Diceros bicornis minor: one gene and its partners. The protein of the gene in region 1 purifies or fractionates together with the protein of each later gene. This does not show direct contact. Links are inferred from orthologs where the notes say so. Each region holds a gene or a part of one and is shown in the gene's direction. Other genes may lie near its edges.

Region 1 (7,702 bases):
GTTCTACCCCATCTGCAGGAAATAATTCTGGCTACTTTCCTGTTGTCAGTTGCAGTGATTAGTCCCACATAAATCAAAGTCTGGTCTTAATTGAAAGGGCTGTATTTTAGGAAGCTTGTACAGAAGGAGGCATCTACGAGCTGAGTATCTCACACATGTACACATGTCTATACTTGTGAGGTATTTTTCTTTTTATTTTAATAAAACAAAAATGGGCTTATATGGGACATACTATTTGTTAACCAACCTGCTTTTTTTATTTGATAGAGTATTTTCCTATACCTTTAAGTATTCATTAGACACATCCACATGTATTCTTTTTAATCATATAACATTCTATAATGTTAATATACTATAAATCTATCATTGGACATATATCTTGCTTTCCATATTCTTTGCTATTATAAACAATACTACCTATATATCTTTATGATTTCTTTGATTTTTTTCAGATAACTTCTGAAAGTGAAATTGCCAAGTTAAAGAGCATATACAAATTATAAAACTTTTTAACAGACTGTCCTCTTAAAAGACTGTACTAATTTGTAATCCCACCAGAAGTGTATACAATAATGCCTATTTCCCCACAGCCTTTTCAACGTGAGCTATTTTCATTTTTTAAAACATTCCTGCTAATTCAACAGGCAAACAATGCTGACGGGTGGTTTAATTTGAATTTCTTTAATTGCTAGTGAAGTTGAAGATCTTTTCATGTATTTTTGGTCATTTCTAGTCTTTGATTTAGTGCTAGTTCATGCCCTTCATACATTTCCATTTTTTCTACTGGGGTAGCTTGCTTTCTCTTACTGATTTTCTTTGAAGAGTACTATTTCATTAGAAATATTTTTTTCTTCAGCTTGTTTGCCTTTCTGCTGTGGTTGTGTTTTCTGACATCCACAAATGTAGTCATATCTATATTATCTAATTCTCACAACAAGTGGGTACTAGTAGTAATTTAACAGAGGCTCAAAAAGGTGATTTGAAGCAAGTCCCATTTAATTCCAGAATCTATACACTCAATTAATATGCCAGTGGTTATGGCAATGTCCCCAGACAGCAGCGTCAGCAACACCTGGGAAATGCAAATGTTAGAAATGCAAATTCTCAAGCCTCAGCCCAGACCAACCAAGTCAGACACTCTGAGGATGGGGCTCCGCAATCTGGCTTACCCCAACCCCTCCAGGTGTTGCTGATGCATGCTTAAGTTTGAGAGCCCCTGCACTACACTATCCTGTCTTCTAGATTTCTAGTGTAAGTATCTACACTTACACTAAAATAAGGTAAAAAGATAAATAAGGACATGGCAGGCACTAGGAAAAGGTAGCACTCTGGGGAGTGGTAAAGAAGCACTCATGCTGCCCCAAGGTGTATGTCCTGAATATCTTCTGTTCCACTCACCAACTTCTCCACTGTATACTCCAGGAGGCCGCCCTCCATGGACTGTGCTAGTGTCCTCCTCCCTCACACTCTGGCCTCCAGAGGTGGCTGGAGGCCAAGAGAAGAGTGAGGTCATGATACTTACATCCCCAGTCTCCTTCCTCCTGGGATGCCATGGGTTGGCTGCATCTCCCAACCCAAGGCCATGGCTCTGGCAGGTGGCCTTTTTTCTCAGGTTCTGGTGACACCTTCCTTGGCTCATTTGTTGTTAGGAGCCTCAGGGCTCTACACTACCCCTAATATTCCTGTATTAAACTCTCTTTACTCAGCTTGAGGGTGCTGTTTCCTCTAGGATCTTGTTTTATAGAGCCTACAAGGCCCTTCGTGGCCCCTCTTTCCCCAATTTCCTCTACTGTTAGTCATTTGAGGTTGGTTTGCTTGTTTAAAGTCCCTGGAATGCACCAAGATCTTGGCTGCTTCAGGACCTTTGCCTGAGGATCCTCTGCTTAAAATACTCTTCCTCCTATTCTTTGCCTGGATGACTGCTGCTCGTGCTTCATGTTTCAGTTTAAATGTCCTTTTCTCCCAGAGGCCTTCGTAGATTTTCCTCCAAAATTAAGCACCCCCAGTTAGTCTCTATCATATACCCTGCTCTTTTCTTTCACACTGCACATCTCAATTTGTGGTTATATACTTATTTGTGTTCATTTGTTCAGTATCTGTCTTTCTCATTGGTCTGTGATCTCCATGAGGGTAGGGCCCATGTCTACTTCAAGAGGGAAGATGGCCAACTCATGTCCAAAAGAACAATCTCAAGGGGGCAGAAGAGCTTATAGCAGTTATATAGGCTGGTGGGTTACAGTGGGGGGTGGGGGTGGGGTAGGAATGTTGAGCCTCTGGTGTTACAGACTGGGAGTCGCCACACCAGATCTTTCAGTTTTCATTGATGATGGCTATCAGCATAGACTCCCTGTTCGGGGGTCATCACATTCCTAAGGAACTCAAAAGAACAAAGTTATCATCTTATCGCAGCTGGGAGGTACATGCATAATCAGGGGTCATAAAATCTACAGAGCAGTTAGATCTCCTGGAGGGTGCAGATCCAGCTGGGTTAGTTAGTCAGAGGTCATTCAAAGTTACAATAGGGTTTCTTTTCTACAATATGGCTTCCCTCATGTCAACCTTGTCTTGAGCTGGTATCAGCAGGTACTCGATAAATCCATAATGAATGAATGACTCATAGTGCTATCTACTCACCATTCTTCAATAGTCATTCCAGCTCCTGCAAACAGCAGCTTTTATAACTGCATGGTGGGCAAACCACTAGCCAGTCCAACAAAGCCCAAGAACAAATCTATCCCACCAATACCCTCTCAGCCATGACTACGCTCCATTTCTCATCTTACCCCTCCCCCTCCTCCACCAAGTAAGAATGAAACAAGGAGGAAATGCGCTACGTTGTAAGAGCTATAAGACTCAAAGACAAGCTGCAAAGTTGGCTTATAAACCTGGGTGGGAGAAGGAGAAAAGCAGCTTGTCTGTAGAACCGTGGTGAGATGACTGCCCTGATGCTATTCATGTGCACAAATGGCTTCCCCGGGGAAATGTCAACAACTGACACCCACATTGTGGTCTCCCACATATGGATATGCCAGTGTTTACTTAGCCATCCCCTTATTTCAAAAAACATTTAATGGAAGGCTAATGTACCTGTTATGGTGTGCACAAAGGTAACAGCCACTGTGCCTGCTGTTAAGACATTTAAAAGGAGCTATGTGAGAAACGGTTATGAAACAACTATTATGCAGAGTAAAAATATTATAAATAGCTCACACACCGGAGCACAGGGGACAAAGGATAAGGGATACATAATTTTGTGGAAGGCTTCACTTAGAAGGCAGCACTGAAGTAAGACTTGATGCATGAGGTAGAAGCTTGTTAGGCAACAGGGGAGAGAGGGTGTTCCAGGAGAAAGAAACACGTGGAAAGGCATTGGAGGAGGTTACGAGTTTTTTTATTCTTGGAATGTGGAGTGCAAGTGGGAAGTGGTGGAAGTAGAGTAAGGACAGAAAAGCCAGTCAGAGTTAAGTCGCAAAGGACCTTGCAAAGGAGCTTAGTAAATTACCTATGGACAATGGTCAGCCACGAGAGCATTTAGGAGCCCAAGAGCAGCTTTGGGTTTGCCTTAGTTCATTCTGTTGGCAGTGTGGAGGACTGCGTAAAGTGACTAGACAGAGGCAAGGAGACCCAAAAAAGAGACTAAACACTAAAAAAGAGGGAAAAGTTGAGTACCTGAACCAGGGCAGAGGCAGTGCCAATGTGAGCTCTACTGGAGGTTCCCCAGGAGCTACAACGTCCCAGGGTGCTGCAGTGGAGGTAAGTGTGAGCAATGACTAGGATAGAACTCTTCTTTTTGCCTTGGGCAATTGGCCAGTTTTACCAAATGGGACAGAGGTGGTAGTAGGATAGGAATCCTAAAGGGAAACATGAATTCAGCTTGTGTGTGCGTGTGTGTGAGGAAGATTAGCCTTGAGTAACACCTCCGCCAATCTTCCTCTATTTTGTATGTGGGATGTCTCCACAGCATGGCTGATGAGTGGCATAAGTCCGTCACCAGGATCCAAACCCGCGAACCTGGCCGCCAAGGCTGAGCGCATGGAATTTTAACCGCTCCGCGACGGGGTCGCTCCGAATTCAGCTTTTAACAGGTGCATTGCGAGGAGTCTGCAGGACACCCGGGTGAAGGTGTCCACGAGGAACTGTTAGGAGCCTGCGGGTTTGGAGCGACATCTGGGTTAGAGATGTGGACTTGCGGTCACTAGCGTGGATGAGACCGCAGAGTTGAACGGAAAAAATGACAAATCTAGAGAACAAATATAACATTGACTGTGAAACCAGTGTCAGCTTCACAGTTTTTCTCCCTTCTTAGATTGGACCAAGGAACGAACACTTTTCATTTCCCAGACGCTCAGGAGAGACCAGCGCGCAGAGACGCTTCGCGTTTAAGCTGTCAGAGGGCCAGCCCCACCCACTGGCGTCGGGAAGGGCGCCTAGCCCTCCAGTTCTACTTCCACGGAGCTCCGGACTCCGCTGCTCCGGGCCGGAAGCCCGGACACCTGCCTCACACTCTCCGGGGACGACCCCTTCGACCACGCCACGACCCCTTCGACCAGGCCCCGCGTCTCGGCGCTGAGCTTTTACGCCATCATCGTGCGCCCTCCCACCCTAACCCCGCCCCGCCCCGACCACGCCCCGCGGCTCGACGCTGCGCTTTGACGTCTTCACCGCGCGCCCTCCCGCCCCTGGGTGTTCAAGCTGGGCGCGCGGGCAGCGCTTCGGCCCAGCGGCTGGAATCCGCGCGCTCCCTATCGCCTCTCCTTCCATCATGTTCCCGGCCGTCTCCTCTCCGCGGACCCCGGGGCCCGGGGCCCGAAGAGGCCCGCTGGGCGGAGTCGGGCCGGGCTCCACGCCCCGGGCTACAGGCAGGAAGGGTCTGGCCTTGGGATCTGCAGTCAGCTCCCCGGTGCTCTTCTCGCCGGTCGGCCGGCGGAGCTCGCTGAGCTCTCGGTAAGTGATCGTCCCCGGTTGGGTCTGGCGACTGACAGGCTCACGGGCCTCGGTGGGCCTGATGGGGTAGTGTCTCCGGAAGCCTCCGGGACCTGGGGCGGCGGGGGGGAATGCCCAAGTATTGGAAAATAGACCTTCGCCACGCTTGCGAGTCATTTTAGCCTCACTTTGACTAATTCATCAGTTGAGTCTTCGCTTTGCACTTTTCATGGAATTACCTTTATGTAGAGGTGAAGAACTGGATTTGAATCAGTAGTTACCTGCCTCCTTCTTACTACCCCTGTGATCTGGTGTAAGTCACTCATGATGCTCTTCATCTGTGAAATGGCGAAAGTATCTGACCTGAGCCTGCTTGACTAAGGCCAAAAGAGTCAATATGAAATGCCACTACGCAGATGTAAAGTGATGGTGAGAATAAGGTGATGGTGGGAATGAGGACCTCCGGCCCTGAAAATCGTTGTCTATATGTCTGACATACTAACTGCCATTCATATCTGCTGATTGGTAATTCTATAGGGCTTTTAGCTACGGAAGTTAACTTTGTAGCTAAATTAATAGGGAAAAGGCTTTCCATAAACAGTGAGGTAAGAATAGTTTTGTTACCAAACAAAAGCGTGGCTCACCAGCCCACATCACCTGTAGAATCATGCTCCACACCCTCCCTTTCATAATTAATCTAGAACTGTAGAAGGTAATCGTTTCAGAGTAGTTTCCTCTGAATTCATCTATCAAAAATGAATTTCCTCCCGCGGAAAAATGGTGATATTGGATCTTGAATTTACAGTTAAAATTTATAAAATTTTGGAATTGTTTAAAGGAGAAATGATTTTTAAAGAATACACTGTATCCTTGACTTTTGCATTTTGAAAAGTGCTCTTCAAAGTGTTGATTTTGTCGATATCTTTTGCTCTTTTGAGAAAAGACAGAATAAAGGTCATACTTTATTTAATGTGTTTTTTTAAGTCTCTTTTTACCTTCTGGTGATCATTTATTCTTATAATAGGACATAAAGCTCTCCACCACTCTATGTGCATCTCATCATTTAATCTTCATGATAAGAGAGAGAATAACTTTTATACTGGTAACTTTACATTGCTTGTCTGAATGTTAAGATGAAGGGAAGAAGGAAATAAAATTTCTACTGCTTTATCTGCTATTAAAGACCAGGTAACAGCAGATGTTCATGACTCTGTTTAATTTCTGGCTTAATTGCACAGATCTGGTAGATTCTTATAATTGTAGAGCTGATGAGAGCTTAAAAATAACCTAACCCGGGGCCAGCCTGTGGCTTAGTGGTTAAGTGCGCGCGCTCCGCTACTGGCGACCCGGGTTCGGATCCCAGGCACGCACCTACGCACCGCTTCTCCGGCCATTCTGAGGCCGCGTCCCACATACAGCAACTAGAAGGATGTGCAACTATGACATACAACTATCCACTGGGGCTTTGGGGAAAAAAAGGAGGAGGATTGGCAATAGATGTTAGCTCAGAGCCGGTCTTCCTCAGCAAAAAGAGGAGGATTAGCATGGATGTTAGCTCAGGGCTGATCTTCCTCATAAAAAAAATAAATAAATAAAAACATAACCTAACCCAATGTTTGTAAAACATTTTTGACCACAGTGTATGATGAACTTTATTTTATATTGTATTTTGTTTTTCAAAAATGTTGATCGAGACCCTTAAAATGACCTGCAGTTTGAAAAACACTGATCTAGTCCAACCTTCGTATTTCAAAGCTAAGGAAGCAGGATTATAAAGAGTTTAAGTTAACAGCATGCATCTCTAAACTACAGCATAAGAGTCGGAGGCCAAGTTTTCCTAAATCCTGTTAGTCTTTTTTTTAATGAAAAGTACAGTTAATTACACAGTATACAGGAGCCAGAGTTTTTTTCACTGTTACAACTCATCTTTCTTCTTATCAAAGATAGTCTCTTTATTGTGAAAATATATGTATAAAAATTAGAATAATGGAAAATTTTAACTTATGGGTGAAGTAATACGGTCTCTTTTCTTTAGAGGAACACCTACACGAATATTCCCACACCACTCTGTAACCGAGTGTGTAAACTATGATGTAAAAACGTTTGGATCTTCACTTCCTGTTAAAATCATGGAAGCCCTAACATTGGCTGAAGGTGGGTGTCATATTTCATTTGCTTCTATTAGCAATTCAAAATAAAGCCTAGGTCTAGCATGGAGATTGAATTTTGTGCTTTCTCTGGCATATCTTCACCTAAATGGGGAGAAAGGTAACCTATTTGGTTTTTCACTGTAATTGAGAAATTTAATAAATTTGAGAAGCAGAAGGAGTTCATTCTAGCACAAATTAAATCTTTAGTGGTTGTTAAGTACTGCTTATGCAAAACTCAGTCCAATTTAAAAAGTTAATTGAGTATATGAAATTTAGCTTTTAAAAAAACCCAAAAAACTAGTGCCTCACGTTATTGGGTTTAATAATGCAGTAAAATCAAGTCTTAGCTCCATTTCTGGATCCTGTGTAGTATCCCAGAGACTGTATGCACAAATTCATGATGTTATCAATGTGGTGTACCTTTAGAAGATTCTGTTGGCAGAGAATTAGAGTGGAAATTTGGAAGATGTAGTCAACACAAGCTTCAGAAAAGCGACATTAAGGATGAGGAGTTGGGTGACTGTGACAGCAAAGTTCAGAGCATCCTCGTGATCTGCCTAAATCATTTTTATTAAGGATTCAATTCTAGATCTTTGTGATTTTCTGGAACTGTGTTTTTAAATTACAGG
Region 2 (6,874 bases), on another chromosome or scaffold:
TTCGTCACACACACACACACAAAAGAATATCAAAGGAATCGAATGAACAGACAAATGAAGAGATACACAGAGTGGGGTCTTGAATGCAGGAGCTTCTGTCCCTGTGGAGTTTAGGGCCTGGCACACCGATGCATCCTAGTTCACCAACCTGGAAGCTCTCTGAACTTCCCCCCTCTGGGCTTTTATGGAGGCTTCATTGCATAGGTATGATTGATTAAATCATTGGCCATTGGTGACTTAATTCAATCTCCAGCCCCTCTTCCCTCCCTTAAAGTTCCAGCCCTCTAATCACGTGGTTGGTTCCCCTGGCAACCAGCCACCTCCTTAGGTTACCTAGGGACTTTCCAAAAGTTACCTCATTAACGTAACAAAAGACATCTTTAGCTCTCTCATGTTTAGGGAATTCCAAGGGTTTTAGGAGCTCTGCGCCAGGAACAGGGATAAAGACCAAATATAATATTCTCATTATAAATCACAATATCACCGAGGTGATTAGGTGATAAAGGCGGAGCCCTCATGAATAGTATTAGTGTCCTAATAAGAGACCCCAGAGAGCTCCCTTGCCCTTTCCACAATTTGAGGACACAGCAAGAAGGTGGCTGGCTATAACCCAGGAAGCAGGCCCTCACTGAATCTGCTGGTGCCTTGATCTTGGACTTCCTAGCCTCCAAAACCGTGAGAAGGAAATGTTAGTTGTTGAAGCCACTCAGCCTTTAGTATTTTGTTACAGCATTCCAAGAAGAAACACAACAATATAAGCGATGAATAGGAACTGTTATCTCACAGTGTATTTGTAAAACGAAGAGGCAGGCAGAGCAAGAACAGATTAAGATCAATAGGGAGTTGTTTCAATGATCTGAGAAGGAAATGTGGAAGACTGTAGGAGGAAAATGAAACAGGCAAACAGCCATTGATGATTAAACAGCTAGTAACTATGGGGGATTGGAATTTGCCAACTCAAAATATGTCTCTGCCCGAATGACATTTGACCCCCACCCCCACTAACTGAGCAAAGGAGTTTGGGATGGGAGGCCTGCCCACAGAAAAGGCCATTACTATAGACATCTCTGGGTACCTGGGTGGGTCGTGATAAACCCATCCTTAGTTCTAGTAACCCTTTATGAGAGACATTTACATTGGTAAAGAAAGTCTCCATTTGTAAAGGTATCTTCTTCCCTGCACCAGGAAGAAGGGGGGATGGCCTTACCTAGAAACTTATCAGAATGGAAGGAGAGGACTTAAATCTGCATGATAAACTTATTCATTGTTAACTGTGCTGTTTGGGCAATATGCTATCTGACTCCCACTAGGTTCCTATAGATGACATCTCCCTGGAGCCTGGATTACCATGGTAATGGGTGTTTGAGCTATTTTTTTTCAGGAACTGAGCCCTTTGTCCACTTCAGGCCAGACTGAGACCACCAACCCATCAACTGGGCCCTTTTGATGGCAAGAGGTTGGAACTCCACCCTCAGGGCATGTTAATGCCGCCATTCTGTGACCATGTGTCCTACGAAGAAACATGAAGCCTGACTACACTTGCGCAGATCATCAATGACCTCATCTCTCCTCACCTCCAATCATTTCAGACCACATTGCCCCCTACCCCATAAATACCCCTGAGCCCCTATTTTTGGGGAAGCGGATTTGAGACTTGTTCTCCCGTTTTTCTCACTTGGCTGCCTTGTGATTAAATCCTCTCTCTCTGCAATCTCGTTGTCTCGGTGATTGGCTTTCTGGGTGGCTGGCAAAAATGGACCTGGTGCAGTAACAAAAAGTTCCTGATATCTATTGCTGCCTAACAAACTACCCAAAAACTTAGTGACTTAAAATACCGACCATAGGGGGCTGGTCCCATGGCCGAGTGGTTAAAGCTGCCTGTGCTCTGCTTCCAAGGCCTGGGTTCACGCGTTCAGATCTCGGGCGCGGACCTACACACCACTCATCAAGCCAAGCTGTAGCAGGCATCCCACATATAAAGTAGAGGAAGATGGGCACAGATGTTAGCCCAGGGCCAATCTTCCTCAGCAAAAAGAGGAGGATGGGCAACACATGTCAGCTCAGGGCTAATCCTCCTCACACACAAAAAAAAGATGCTGGGAAGGAGGGAGGGGTGGTGGTAGAGGAAATTCTCTTTGGATTGCATTAATTTTCTAACTGAAGAAGCAGGCTGAGTGAAGATGAGGAAGTGTCACCGGCTCTGGGCCTCCAGAAACTCAAAGGTGGGTTTGGAAGCAATTAACTGTTTTTCCAAGTTGTTTCTTTTCCTTTTGTGTGTTAAGGAGACGTAACCAGCAGCCATCCTGAAACTGACCAAGCCTTATTTTTAATGCAAAGATCTCTCCAGGAGGAGCTTAGGCCTCATTATGTGGAAGCATGTTCTCCAACTGAGCCTGTGCAAGCGAATACCCAGCTCCCCCTTTTGAATATTCATTCCCCAACCAAATAAAAGTTCCTGTCTTCCTTGGTTCGGAGAAGCCATGACTTTGGAAATGATTCCTTATGGCCTCCTACTTGCTGCAAATCACGCTTTACTTTGGGAGACAACTTCCACTGGTGCAGTCTTATTTAACTCACCAGGAGGCGAGCCCACTTGGTTCCGTCTCAGAGGGAGGTGTTGGATGAGTTGCGAAATACTCATCTAGGAAGGTATACAGACAAGGCAAACACAATGCTACAATGTCTGCTGGGCAGCAGTATGAGCCCCCCCAAGGTTTAGAATCATGATGGAGGCAGAGGGAGTGTGTCAGTGTAGCTGTATATGTCTCTCCAGGCCTGTTCAGCTGCCAATTTGGAGTTAATCAAAGTCGTGTTTTTTTACTGGAGAATGCAGATAGACAGCTAGGCAAGAGACTAAATTTAAATGGAATATAAGCAGAGCAAGAAGGAAACATCAAGGAAGTGAGGGACAGTGAAAAGGTGGTAGAAACAATGGATTGGAATGGAGGGATTCCCTTGCTAGAGGTGGTGTCCTAGAAAGAGTGAGGTGGAAAGATATGGGAGAGTGGTCAGAATAGGTTGAATGAAACACAGAATGATAAGGAAGGATTTCGGTCATTGGTAATGAATAAGAAGTAATAACAGACGTGCTTAACAAACGTTGACCATCAAGGGGGAAAAAAAAACCTTTCCCCCTGAAAATTAGCATTTTCCTCAATATTGAGCTTTACTCTGCTCTAGACATGGGTAAAGCTGCAGTATCTTCCAAACATCCAGATCACAGGTGGAACAAAGGCAAATTCCTTTCAGGTATGCAAAGGAACAGCATTTAGGGAATCTCAACAGGTTGCGGCATCCATGTTTAATTGCACACATCACGTTTTATTATACGAGCATATAGAATTCATTATACAAGAATTCCAACACGGAAGGCCCCTCTCCTCTTCATTCCCCCCCATCCCACGTGTCGCTGAAGGGTGAAGAAAAGGAGAGATTCGCAGGCCGACACCACGACGCAGGGAGAGGTGACCGCAAGCTCGGAATCCGGCAGGGGGCGCCCATGTGCCCGGCCTCGCCGGCCCTCGCCCCTCCCGGGAGGCTCAGCCCCCCGCCCGCGCGGCGTTTTCAAACTGGAAACAAGCCCGGCCCCGCCCCCTGCCTGAGGCGGCCGGGAAGAGGGCACCGCCCCCCGGAGGCGTCCCACCCGGCCACGCGAAGGTCCCCGGAGGGAGGGCCGGCTCCCCGCCCCTTTCTCAGCTGGCTTCCTCGCTGCCCACCCTCATACCCCCGCCAACTCCATTGAAGCCTCCAAACGACGGGTCGACCCCGCCCCTCTGCTCCCCCGGCCTCGCCACCTGTGCGCGTCTCCCCGCCCCGCCCCCGGAAGTGACGACAGCCGCCCGGCCTGCCAGTGTCCCGTCGGGCCTCGCGGCGGCGGCGGGAAGATGGCGGCGGCGGGAGCCATAGAACGGAGCTTCGTGGAGCTCAGCGGAGCTGAGCGCGAAAGGCCGAGGCACTTTCGAGAATTCACAGTCTGCGGCGTTGGTACGGAAGCAGCCAAGGAGGGCGCGATCCTGTCCTTTCCCTCGGGTTCCCCTCATGGGTCCCCAAATCTCTGACCCCCTAGTTCATCTTCCTGAATCCACATGCCTGTAGCTCCGGGTGCAGAGCTCCCTTAGTGTCTTCCTTGTTTTCTTCCCTTTCTTTTTGTAGGAATTGTCAATCTGTTACCCTCTGCTTTCTCAGCGCCATCAGTCCCTGTCATCCCCCGAGAACCACGTGTGTGGCTGACCACTCTCCTTTTGCAGGGACTGCAAATGCCTTGGCCGGAGCAGTCAAATACAGTGAGAGTGCGGGAGGCTTCTACTATGTGGAAAGTGGCAAGTTGTTCTCCGTCACCAGAAACAGGTTCATCCATTGGTAAGTACTGTGTTCGCCAAACCCCTAGGGTGGTTCGGCGTTTGAATTTCCGTGGCTGTTCCCCAAGTGTCATTCTCCGAAACGGTAATCGATAGGAAAAGAGAAAAACTGTTTTCTATTCATATCTGAATCAGGAGAAAATTAAGGAGACACACAATTCTAGGAGAGATACCCTCCCAGGCAGCAGTAGAAGCAGAGGAAATGTAGCTTAGAGGATAAAGCCTCAAAGACCAGTTTTGTACATGGACCCATTATGTTTTTATAGTGCGTTATGGCTTTCTTCACTCTACAAATATGTTTGAGCTTTTATACATCAGGCATTGCTAGGTGTACTAGGGATGAAGTGATGAACAAAAACAACCACCATTTTCATCGTGCAAGATGTTGTAGCAGTGTAATGATAGATGTGGACCCACCCTTTATGGGGCAGTATTTTTTTTTGTTATAATTTTACTTATTTATTTTATTTTTCCCCCCAAAGCCCCAGTAGATAGTTGTATGTCATAGCTGCACATCCCTCTAGTTGCTGTATGTGGGACATGGCCTCAGCATGGCCGGAGAAGGGGTGCGTCGGTGCGCGCCCGGAATCCGAACCTGGGCCGCCAGCAGCGGAGTGCACGCGCTTAACCGCTAAGCCTTGGGGCCAGCCCTGTGGGGCAGTTTTAAAAAGAAAAAGACTGATGATCACAATATAGGTACACAAATACAAACTTTTCATGCTTACTTCAAAGGAAAAGTATAGGGACTATGAGAGGCTAATAGGAGGACTAAATTTTATTGGTAGGGCTGGGAAAGCCTTTAAGAAAGTCACATTTAACCTGAGATCTGAAGGATGGAAGGGTAGCCAGGCAGGCGGTTGGGAGAGAGAGCAGTTCAGCAAGTGGGATCACCATATGCAAAGTCGGTGAGGTAGAAAGAGCTTGGCAGGTTTGAGGAATTGACTGAAGGTCTGTGTGGCTTGAGTGCAGTGGGTGAAAGGGAAAGTGATGTGAAAGATGCTGAGACTGGGGAGGTAGGCAGGACTCAGATCATGAAGGACCCTCAGGTCCTTTTTAAGGATTTTGGATTTTATCCTAAGTACATTGAGCACTCATTGAAGGGTTTTAAAGGGTTACTAACATGATCAACGTTGTATTTTTTAAAAAATCAGTCTGCTTTGTGGAAAGTGGATTTGGGTTGAATGGGTATAATACAAAAGAACAGTTTGCTTTTATGATGGCCCAAGTAAGAGACGCTGGTGACCCAATTGTAAGAGTGGTTAGGAAAAGAAAAATAGATGAATTTAAGATGCGTTTAGAAAGTAGATTCACTAGGACTTGGTGATAGATTGAATATGGGGTGGGGGATGGTAAGGGAAAAGGAGGGAGCAAGGGCAACTCCCTGGTGTCTCATGTGGCCAGTCAGATATTGGGTGGAGCAGTTGCCATTTACTGAGATGCAGAAGACGAGTTTAGAGAGATGTGAATAATGCTTTTAGATGTACTACATTTGAAGTATCTATGTAGCAGCCCTTTGGCAATGTCAAGTAGGTGTTGAAATTTGCAGGACTGAAGCTCAGAAGAAAGGCCTGTGTTAGAGATACAGATCTCATTTATTTAAGAAATATTTTTGAGTGCCTAATGAATTCTAGTTAATGTTTAGGGACTGGTATAGGGGAGGGACAAAGCTGACAAAGTCCCTGCTTTCATGGAGGGAGACGCACTAAACAATAACCAAAGAAACCATGTAAATATAGTTTGTCAGATGATAAGTGGAATAGAGAACGGGGAAGCAAGATAAGAGGGGAGGGGAACACCTATGGGTGTTAATATTTTATATAGGTTAGTCGGGCAATACCCAGGGATAAGTTGACATTTGAGCAGAGGAAGTAAAGATATTTGGGGGACAAGAATTTCAGGTAGAAACTTTCAAGAAAAAGGAACCAACAGTGCAAAGAACTCTGAGACAGCAACTTGTTTGTTGTGTTCAAAGAATGGCAAGGGGCCAGGAGTCTGCAGCTGAGTGAAGAAAGGATAGGATAATAAGAAAGGTAACCCAGGGCCAGATCAAGGCTTTGTCAGTTATTTTAGGCTTTGACTTTTACTCTGAGTGAGATAGGAAGGTTTTAATTGGAGAAATGACATGATCTAAGTTGTGGGGTATTTTTGTTTTGTTTTTTGTTTTTTTGCTGAGGAAGATTTGCTCTGAGCTAAGATCTGTTGCCGAAGATTAGCCCTGATCTAACACCTGTGCCAGTCTTCCTCTATTTTTTATGTGGGACGCCGCCACAGCAGGGCTGGTGAGTGGAGTAGGTCCATGCCCAGGATCCAAACCCGGCCACCGAAGTGGAGCGTGTGGAACTTTAACAACTCAGCTACAAGGCTGGGCCCTCTAAGTTATGTTTTTAACGGATTGGTGTGGCTGTGGGTTGAGAACAGAGTGTAGTGGGAAAAGAGTGGGAGCAGGGAGACTGATTAGGAGGTTGGTGCCACAGTCCAGGCAAGAGAAGATGGCAGCTTAGACCAGCATGGTGTCG
Region 3 (7,874 bases), on another chromosome or scaffold:
GTGCAGAAATTGGAACCCTCATATATAGCTGGTGGGAAAGTAAAATGGTAGAGTCACTTCGGAAAATAGTCTGGTAGCGCCTCAAAAAGTTAAACATAGAGTTACCATATGACCCTGCAAATCCACTCCTAGGCATAAACACACGAGAATTGAAAACATGTCCACAAAAAAACTTGCACATGAATGAATGTTCGTAGCAGCATTATCCAGAGTGGCCACAAGGCGAAAACAACTCAAATGTCATTCAACTCAGGAATGTATAAACAAATATGGTATATCCATAAAATGGAATATTATTCTACCAGAAAAAGGAATGAAGTACTGATGCATGCTGCAACATGGATGAACCTTGAAAACATTATGCTGGGCCAGTCCCGTGGCTTAGCGGTTAAATGTGCGCGCTCTGCTGCTGGCGGCCCGGGTTTGGATCCCGGGCACGCACCGATGCACCACTTCTCCGGCCATGCTGAGGCCGCGCCCCACATACAGCAACTAGAAGGATGTGCAGCTATGATATACAACTATCTACTGGGGCTTTGGGGGAAAATAAATAAATAAATAAAATCTTAAAAAAAAAAAAGAAAACATTATGCTAAGTGAAAGAAGTCAGACACAAAGGTCACATATTATATGATTCCATTTATATGAAATATATGAAATGTCCAGAATAAGCAAATCCATTGAGAGAGAAAGTAGATTAGTAATTGCCAGGGGCTGGGGAAAGGGGGAGATGGAGAATGACTGCTAATGGGTCTTGGGTTATGAAAATGTTCTGGAATTAGACAGTGGTGATGGTTGCACAACATTGTGATTATACTAAAAACCTCCGAATTGTATATTTTCTTTTCTTTCTTTCTTTTTTTTTTGCTGAGGAAGATTCGCCCTGAGCTAACATCTGTTACCAATCTTCCTCTTTTTGTATGTGAGCCGCTGCCATGGCATGGTCACTGACAAGTGGTGTAGGTCCACGCGCGGGAACCGAACCCAGGCTGCCGAAGCAGAGCACACTGAACTTAAGTTCGAACTTAAGGGCCACCACGGCTGGCCCTGAATTGTATATTTTAAATAGGTCAATGTTATATTATGTGAATTATATCTCAATTTTAAAAAAATCTGGCAAAGAGCTGGGCCTCAATAAATGGCAGTTATTATTACAAAAAAGATGATAAAGGAGAGAAATAGAAACTGAACAAATAGGACACATAGAAAGTATAAAATGTTAGATAAAATCCTGAATATATCAGTAAATTCATTAAATGCAATGGACTAAATGCTCTAATAAAAAGTCAAAGGTATTCACACAAGATTTACAAAAATCTAATTGTATGCTATTTATAAACATCACCTTCCCTTATCAAGTTATACAAAAAGAGGAAGGAAATCAATATTTACTGAGTGCTTACCATGTGCCAAACATGTGCCCAGTCCTTTGCAAATTCCATTATCTTCTTTGACCTTCACAACTACTTTACAAAATAGGAATTATTATTTTGTGTGTGTGTGTGAGGAAGATCAGCCCTGAGCTAACATCTGATGCCAATCCTCCTCTTTTTTTTTTGCTGAGGAAGATTGGCTTTGGGCTAACATCTGTGCCCATCTTCCTCTGGGATGCCGCCACAGCATGGCTTAACAAGCGGCACATCAGTGCACACCCGGGATCCGAACCTGCGAACCCTGGGCCACCAAAGCAGAGCGTGTACACCTAACTGCTGTGCCACCGGGCCAGCCCCCAAAATAGGAATTATTGTGCCCATTTTATAGACAAGGAAACTGGGGCACAGAACAACTAAATATAATTTGTGCAAGGTCTAAAAGGTAAGCAGAATGAGGACTTGAACTCAGCTCTCTTTGACTCCAACTCTGCTGCTCTTTCCAATGCACCATATAAGAAATCTAGCACCATCAATCTGGAAGGAAGTCTCTTGACCTTCTATGATTCTGCAGTCCTTACAGGTCTCTCTCCTCCCTGAGCACTAATCCTTCATAACTGCATAGAGTGAGTTCTCAGGGCATATGGTGAGAGACTGAGGGCTCCCAGGACAGAGATGGACTTTACTTAGCTCTGTCTCTCTTGGCCAGGGCAGAGCACTGAGCTGTGGACATCTCTGGGCTCCTGATGCCCAGGACAGAGTTTGGCTCAGCAAGTGTTTGTGAACACGCACCAAACTCCTTGTCTTTAGAGGGGAAGAAGGAAGATGATGATAACCAAAAGGAGTATTATGAGAATCAGGCAGATTAAGAGTATGTGGGCCCAGGAAGCCCTGGCCCGCACAGAAGTCCTTCCTGGGGCAGAAGTCCCTGGGAATGATGAGCTTGTGGGCCACATGCTTACCAGAGTACCTAACAAGAGGTCCTTCTACTTAGAAATCACCATGGTCACAGGAAATTCCTCGCTGGAGCACTCCTTGTCTAATGTCTCCCCCTCCAGTCTTCTAACAAGTATGCACTATTTAAGCATCCCAGCTCCTGCACACCCACTAGTACTTTGGACTGAATGTACTCACTTCCTCACTCAAGACATGTTTCTGAGCCCCTTTTCTGTGTCAGAATCCATGTCTCACAATATTTAGCAAGGGAATTCCTTGACATTTTTAAAGAATACAAATCATATCTATTATTTATTGAGGGCTTACTGGGTACCACGTACCATGCTAAGTGCTTGATCTCATTTAAGTCTCACAACAACTCTGTGATGCAAGTATAGTTGTTATCCCCATTTTACAGACAAGGAAACTAAGGTTCCGAAGTAGTAAGCAATTTTCCCAAGTTCATACAGCTAATACATGTTTGGGCTCAGATTTAAACCCAAGGTTCTCTGACTCAAAAGTCCCACACATCTATTATTATTCTACTTAAGAAATTAATTCACTCATTCATGTGTCAAACATTTAACGTGCACCTATACTGTGTGCCTGGCCTTAGAAGCACCAGAATAAATAGACGAGAGGTTTAAACATAATTGGGTTTGAGGATTGGAAGGTGAGAAATCAAAAGTTCAGGAGGGCAGTGAGGAAGCTACTGTAACTCTCCAGAGAGACTAATGACTTTCTGATGCAGAGCACAAACAAAGGAGGGTGGAGGGAAAAGAGAGATGTTTAGTTGGAGGAGTTGGGGGAAGGTGTCTGGAGTCATATATTTAAACTAGCTTTACTACTTGACTATTCATGTATTTATTTCTTTCTTCCTTCAAGCATCTACTGAGCATCTACAATGTACCAGGTTTCTCCTATCCATTATCTTATTTATTTATTTATTTTTTGTGAGGAAGATCAGCCCTGAGCTAACATCCATGCTAATCCTCTTTTTTGCTGAGGAAGACCGGCTCTGAGCTAACATCTATTGCCAATCTTTCTCCTTTTCTCCCCCCTAAAGCCCCAGTAGATAGTTGTATGTCATAGTTGCACATCCTTCTAGTTGCTGTATGTGGGACACGGCCTCAGCATGGCGGGAGAAGCGGTGCGTTGGTGCGCCCCCGGGATCCCAACCCGGGCCGCCAGTAGCGGAGCGCCTGCACTTAACTGCTAAGCCACAGCCCGGCCCCATTATCTTATTTTATCTTTAAGACCATTCCACTTTTTGACAAACTATCTCTAATCCATTGCCACCCCGGAAAACTTGGAAGGATTTAAGTTCACCTACGTTTTGGGCAGAGCCCATTTCAATTTTGTATTGATGTCCCAGGAGGAGGTGGTAGCGGTGGAGCGGTAATCCGAATAGGCTTTGCTTTCTGAGCACACTCCCTGCTATTCTGTGTGGGACCCTCAGTCACTAGGTCTAGTTTCCAGAACACGCTCGACCTTCTCCCCTTGTAATATTCCGCTTCTGCTCTGAGCTAGGCCCCAGAGGAAAGGAACACCAAGATGTAGAAAATGCAGCTCTGACCTTCAAGATCCCGGGCACAGAAGACAGGAAAGTAAATAATAGGATACAAAGTAACAAGGCTGTAACAGAGGCCTGCCCAAGCATTAGCCCAACAAGCTGGGAGAGATCGGCAAATGCATCCCAGCCAGGAAGGGAACATTTGAACCAGGCCTTTAAGAATAAGCAGGAGTTCCTAAAGTGCAGGTAGGAAAGAAAATCCAAGAATCCTCATTTGTACCAAGCCCTATGCTGAGCCATTCCCTAGGGCATCGCTAAGGCTCTTAACGTCTATTCCAGGCATTCAGAGAGGGAAAGGTTGTGCTGGGGCTGCTATGGGTCAGGAGACAAGGAGGCCAGGGGTTAAAGCCTCGGAGCAGCTGCAGACAAACTACTCGGACAGACGGACCTCCCAGGAGGGCCCTCCAGCTTCGCAGGCGGTGTGGCCAGGAAGTGCTGGCGGGAGGATGGGGAAGCCTTCCCATCACCGCCTGCGGACTGGGGCCAGGAAAGAGTAGAATAGTTACCAGGCCATCCTGGAGCCTTTCCTCTGATTGGCCCCAGCTTCAGCAGCCCGTGTCTCTCAGGTCCAGGGAAGGGGGCGGAGCCTCGGCATAGCGTCACCATTCTTCTCCCACACCCAGGCCGGTGCACCCCAACGTAGCCACTCACTAACCCACTTCGAAGGGCCCTGTGTGACGCCACGACTCCCTCCCAGCCAACCGCGGCGGCGAGGGGCGGGACTCCATGCCTCCCACCGCCCCTCCCCTTTCCTCCCCTAACTCCTGGGGTCCCTCCTCTTCCTCCTCTCCCCTTCTCCCGAAGACCGGCCCCACGTTCGCTTTCAAAAGACTCGTTGCCCAATGAGTGACAGGGCGGGCCTAGAGTGGCGGCGGCGTCTGCCAATGCGCAGACAGCGGGGGCGGAGCGCCCGGAGCGAGCCTCTGACGGCGGGCGGCGTGTGACGCAGTCGGGCCCTCTGCGCGCTGCGCCCGAAGCGGCGGTCGCTGTCGGTGGCGGCGGAGGCGGCGACTGCGACGGTTTCGTGGCGGCCGCGCGCTGCTGTCTGAGCGGCGGGTGGCGGACGGGCCTAGGCCCTCACTCCTGAGCTTCCCATCCCGCGCCGCACCGCGGTAAGTCGGGAGCCCGGGCGGTGGCGGCCGGGGACCGGCAGGCTCCTCCTCCCCTCAGGGCGGGCGGGTGCGCGGGGCGTCCCAGGCCCTCTCCGCGCGGAAGTCTCGCGCCCGGCGCGCACCTTCTGCCCTGAGGGAGGGGGCGGGCCCTGCGACTCGGCGGCCCCGAGGCCCGGCTCTTCGGTCGCTGGGAGGGAATGGGTTATCTGTGGGGTCTGGGCCCGGGAGTCTCCTGGTGCAGCCTGCGCTGAGGGAGCGTCCCTCTCTGTGGTTGTACTCATTCATTTGTCCGGCAGTGATTAGGTGGGCCGGCCCTGTGAGGGGCAGCGCCTGACGACCCTGAATACGGGCCCCCCGGCACTTCTTGACGGTCGTGCGGGATGGCCTTTATTGGCGTTGGTCTCTCCACAGGGGAAATTTGCAGCCCGAGGGTTAGGGTAAGTGGGCCGGGAGTTTGTTAGCTTTTTAAAACAGTATCTGAGAATTAAGGTCGGTTTAGTGGAGTAAAAGGTTATCTGCTGTTCTGCCACGTGTTCCATGTAAAGCTAGATGGGGTTTCTGGATTACTATAGCCATGAGGACTTTAGGAGTGAAGCCGATCCGCCTACCCTACATCACGTGCAAGTTTTATAGATGGAGAAACCGAGGCCTAGAGAAGGGACAAGATTAGCCAATGCCAGATCTGACTCAGTCTAGACGGTTTTCTACTACACCACTCTCCCTAAGTGTTCCAGCCTTCCCTTACTGAGGATTCCCTTTGGGGAGTTGGGTGGGGCAGCGGGGGCATTTGGTAGTTAGAAGCAGACGTAGCTTCTTCAGTAGCGTTTGAGATTTAGTTGCTACCAGCTCTATTCATGGTAAGACGGAAGCTTCATTAGTGGTACTCTAACCTAGAGCATGAGGTTAGGTTTAGGTACTTTTAGGTTTAATGTTGGTTAAAGAATTATCGGTGATGTTATATATTAGAAACGAGTCGATAAGACTACATGTCATGGGCTAGTTTGCTGTTCCAAATCTGAAATTTTTATTTGTGTCAGCTGCTGGGGACTCAGAAGAGACAGTCCAGTTCCTGACGCACAACAGTACTGAAGTAGAAAGCGGGAAGTATAGACAAGACACATAAAGGTAGGCAGCAGTTTTGTAGTTATTGTACCTTGGAACTCATGGCTCCTCTCTGGTACAGAATTCTAAGTATTGTAGTAGAATAAGGTGAGAAAATTAAACTCCATTTTGGAAGAAGAAACTAACTGGAAGAAAGAAAGAGCAGTGATCATTCCCTGTGACAGTTACATAAATTCAGAGAGAAACTTTTGTTAGCTGAGTAACAGAGGGTATGTTTACTTAGTGGCAGAAGTTAGGATATTTAAAAAATAAAACTGGAATTTGGACAGGATGGAGGTACTGGGGAATACTTTGATAGAATTATTTTTTGACTCTTCATTAAGGTTTGGTGAAATTGAATTAGTTGCCACTTTGGTGCGTTCACATCAGTCAGATCGTTGCTTTGGTCTGTTTAGATGAAAAGCAAAAACTGAAAAACAGTAGTGTATAAGAACAGAAGAGAACTGGAGTCTAAATACTAAGAGGTGAACAGGGTATATTTACTGTGACATTTTCTCAGTTCAAGCATCACCCTCTTCTGGGAAGCCTTTCCTGGCATTCTCTCCCCTGCAAGCTTCCATAACACTTATTTGATACATCTATTTATAGTACAAATCATTTTGTATTTTAGCTGTTTGTCTTTTTATTAGACTGTGGTAAAATATTTTTGTCTTATCTTTGTATTCAGGTTACTTGGCACATGGTAGGCTCTCAGTAAGTGTGTTTGCGTGAACGAATAAACAAATATGGAGAAGTTAAACCTAAAAATAGTCAATAAAGAATCTGGGTATTTGTGTGCTCTTGAATATGGGGCCCAGATAGAGGACCCATACCGTTTGTATATTATGTGGTACTTTGGTACATGACTTTTTTCAAGCTGTGAATTTGGTTTCCTAAAAGTTCTGCTTGCTCTTAGATATCTAGATGCTAGTGGACATGAATAAAGTCAGTTATGTTATTTTATTGTGATATTACTTTTATGCTGGCAATAAACGTAGGAAGTAAGGAGTAGTAGTTCTGATATTTAATTTCCAATAAAGAGCACATTCGTAATTATGCAATTTGTTGGGCCGGCCCTGTGGCTTCGCAGTTAAGTGCACGTGCTCCACTACTGGCGGCCGGGGTTTGGATCCTGGGCGCACACCGACGCACCGCTTCTCCGGCCATGCTGAGGCCGCGTCCCACATACAGCAACTAGAAGGATGTGCAACTATGACGTACAACTATCTACTGGGGCTTTGGGGAAAAAAAAAAGGAGGAGGATTGGCAATAGATGTTAGCTCAGAGCCGGTCTTCCTCAGCAAAAAGAGGAGGATTGGCTTGGATGTTAGCTCAGGGCTGATCTTCCTCACAAAAAATAAATAAATAAATAAATTATGCAATTTGTTGAAAGGTTAGAGGACTAAGAAATTTAGAGATTTAACAGTAGGTATTAGAGGCAAGGTGTATAAACAGTGTTTCTTGAGAATTTGGTGTATTCTTTGCGTTTGGAATTGAACCTGAGTATTTGGTACAGTATGTCTCTAGAGTAGGGTCTCTCAGCCTCAGCACTAGTGACATTTTGGGCCAGATAATTCTTTATTGTAGGGGAGTTGTCTTCTGTATTGTAGGATGTATAGCAGTATTCCTGGCCTCTCCCTGGATTTAGATACCGTAGCCACCCCTCCGCCCCCCAAGTTGTAACAATCAAGAATGTCTCCAGACATTATCAGATGTCCCCTGGGAGGCAAAATTCCCCGTGATTGAGACCACTGCTGTAGAGGAAACACTCCCACTATTTCA

The links.
Region 2: the proteins of NUP133 (region 1) and NUP160 purify together in Homo sapiens (co-immunoprecipitation; 4 studies listed by BioGRID and IntAct, with this or other methods). This does not show direct contact. The link is inferred for Diceros bicornis minor from reciprocal best matches to the Homo sapiens genes NUP133 and NUP160.
Region 3: the proteins of NUP133 (region 1) and NUP98 purify together in Homo sapiens (affinity purification with mass spectrometry; 6 studies listed by BioGRID and IntAct, with this or other methods). This does not show direct contact. The link is inferred for Diceros bicornis minor from reciprocal best matches to the Homo sapiens genes NUP133 and NUP98.

What each region holds. Positions count from the first base shown.
Region 1 is NC_080745.1:26,426,617-26,434,318, reverse strand, and holds the start of NUP133 (nuclear pore complex protein Nup133), read left to right. Parts: upstream 1-4,687; 5' UTR 4,688-4,762; coding exon 4,763-4,944; intron 4,945-6,958; coding exon 6,959-7,077; intron 7,078-7,702. UniProt on the Homo sapiens protein: Involved in poly(A)+ RNA transport. Involved in nephrogenesis.
Region 2 is NC_080770.1:22,680,457-22,687,330, forward strand, and holds the start of NUP160 (nuclear pore complex protein Nup160), read left to right. Parts: upstream 1-3,869; 5' UTR 3,870-3,884; coding exon 3,885-3,984; intron 3,985-4,247; coding exon 4,248-4,359; intron 4,360-6,874. UniProt on the Homo sapiens protein: Functions as a component of the nuclear pore complex (NPC). Involved in poly(A)+ RNA transport.
Region 3 is NC_080746.1:58,890,377-58,898,250, reverse strand, and holds the start of NUP98 (nuclear pore complex protein Nup98-Nup96), read left to right. Parts: upstream 1-4,869; 5' UTR 4,870-4,991; intron 4,992-5,182; exon of another isoform or gene 5,183-5,428; intron 5,429-6,028; exon of another isoform or gene 6,029-6,116; intron 6,117-7,874. UniProt on the Homo sapiens protein: Plays a role in the nuclear pore complex (NPC) assembly and/or maintenance. NUP98 and NUP96 are involved in the bidirectional transport across the NPC. May anchor NUP153 and TPR to the NPC.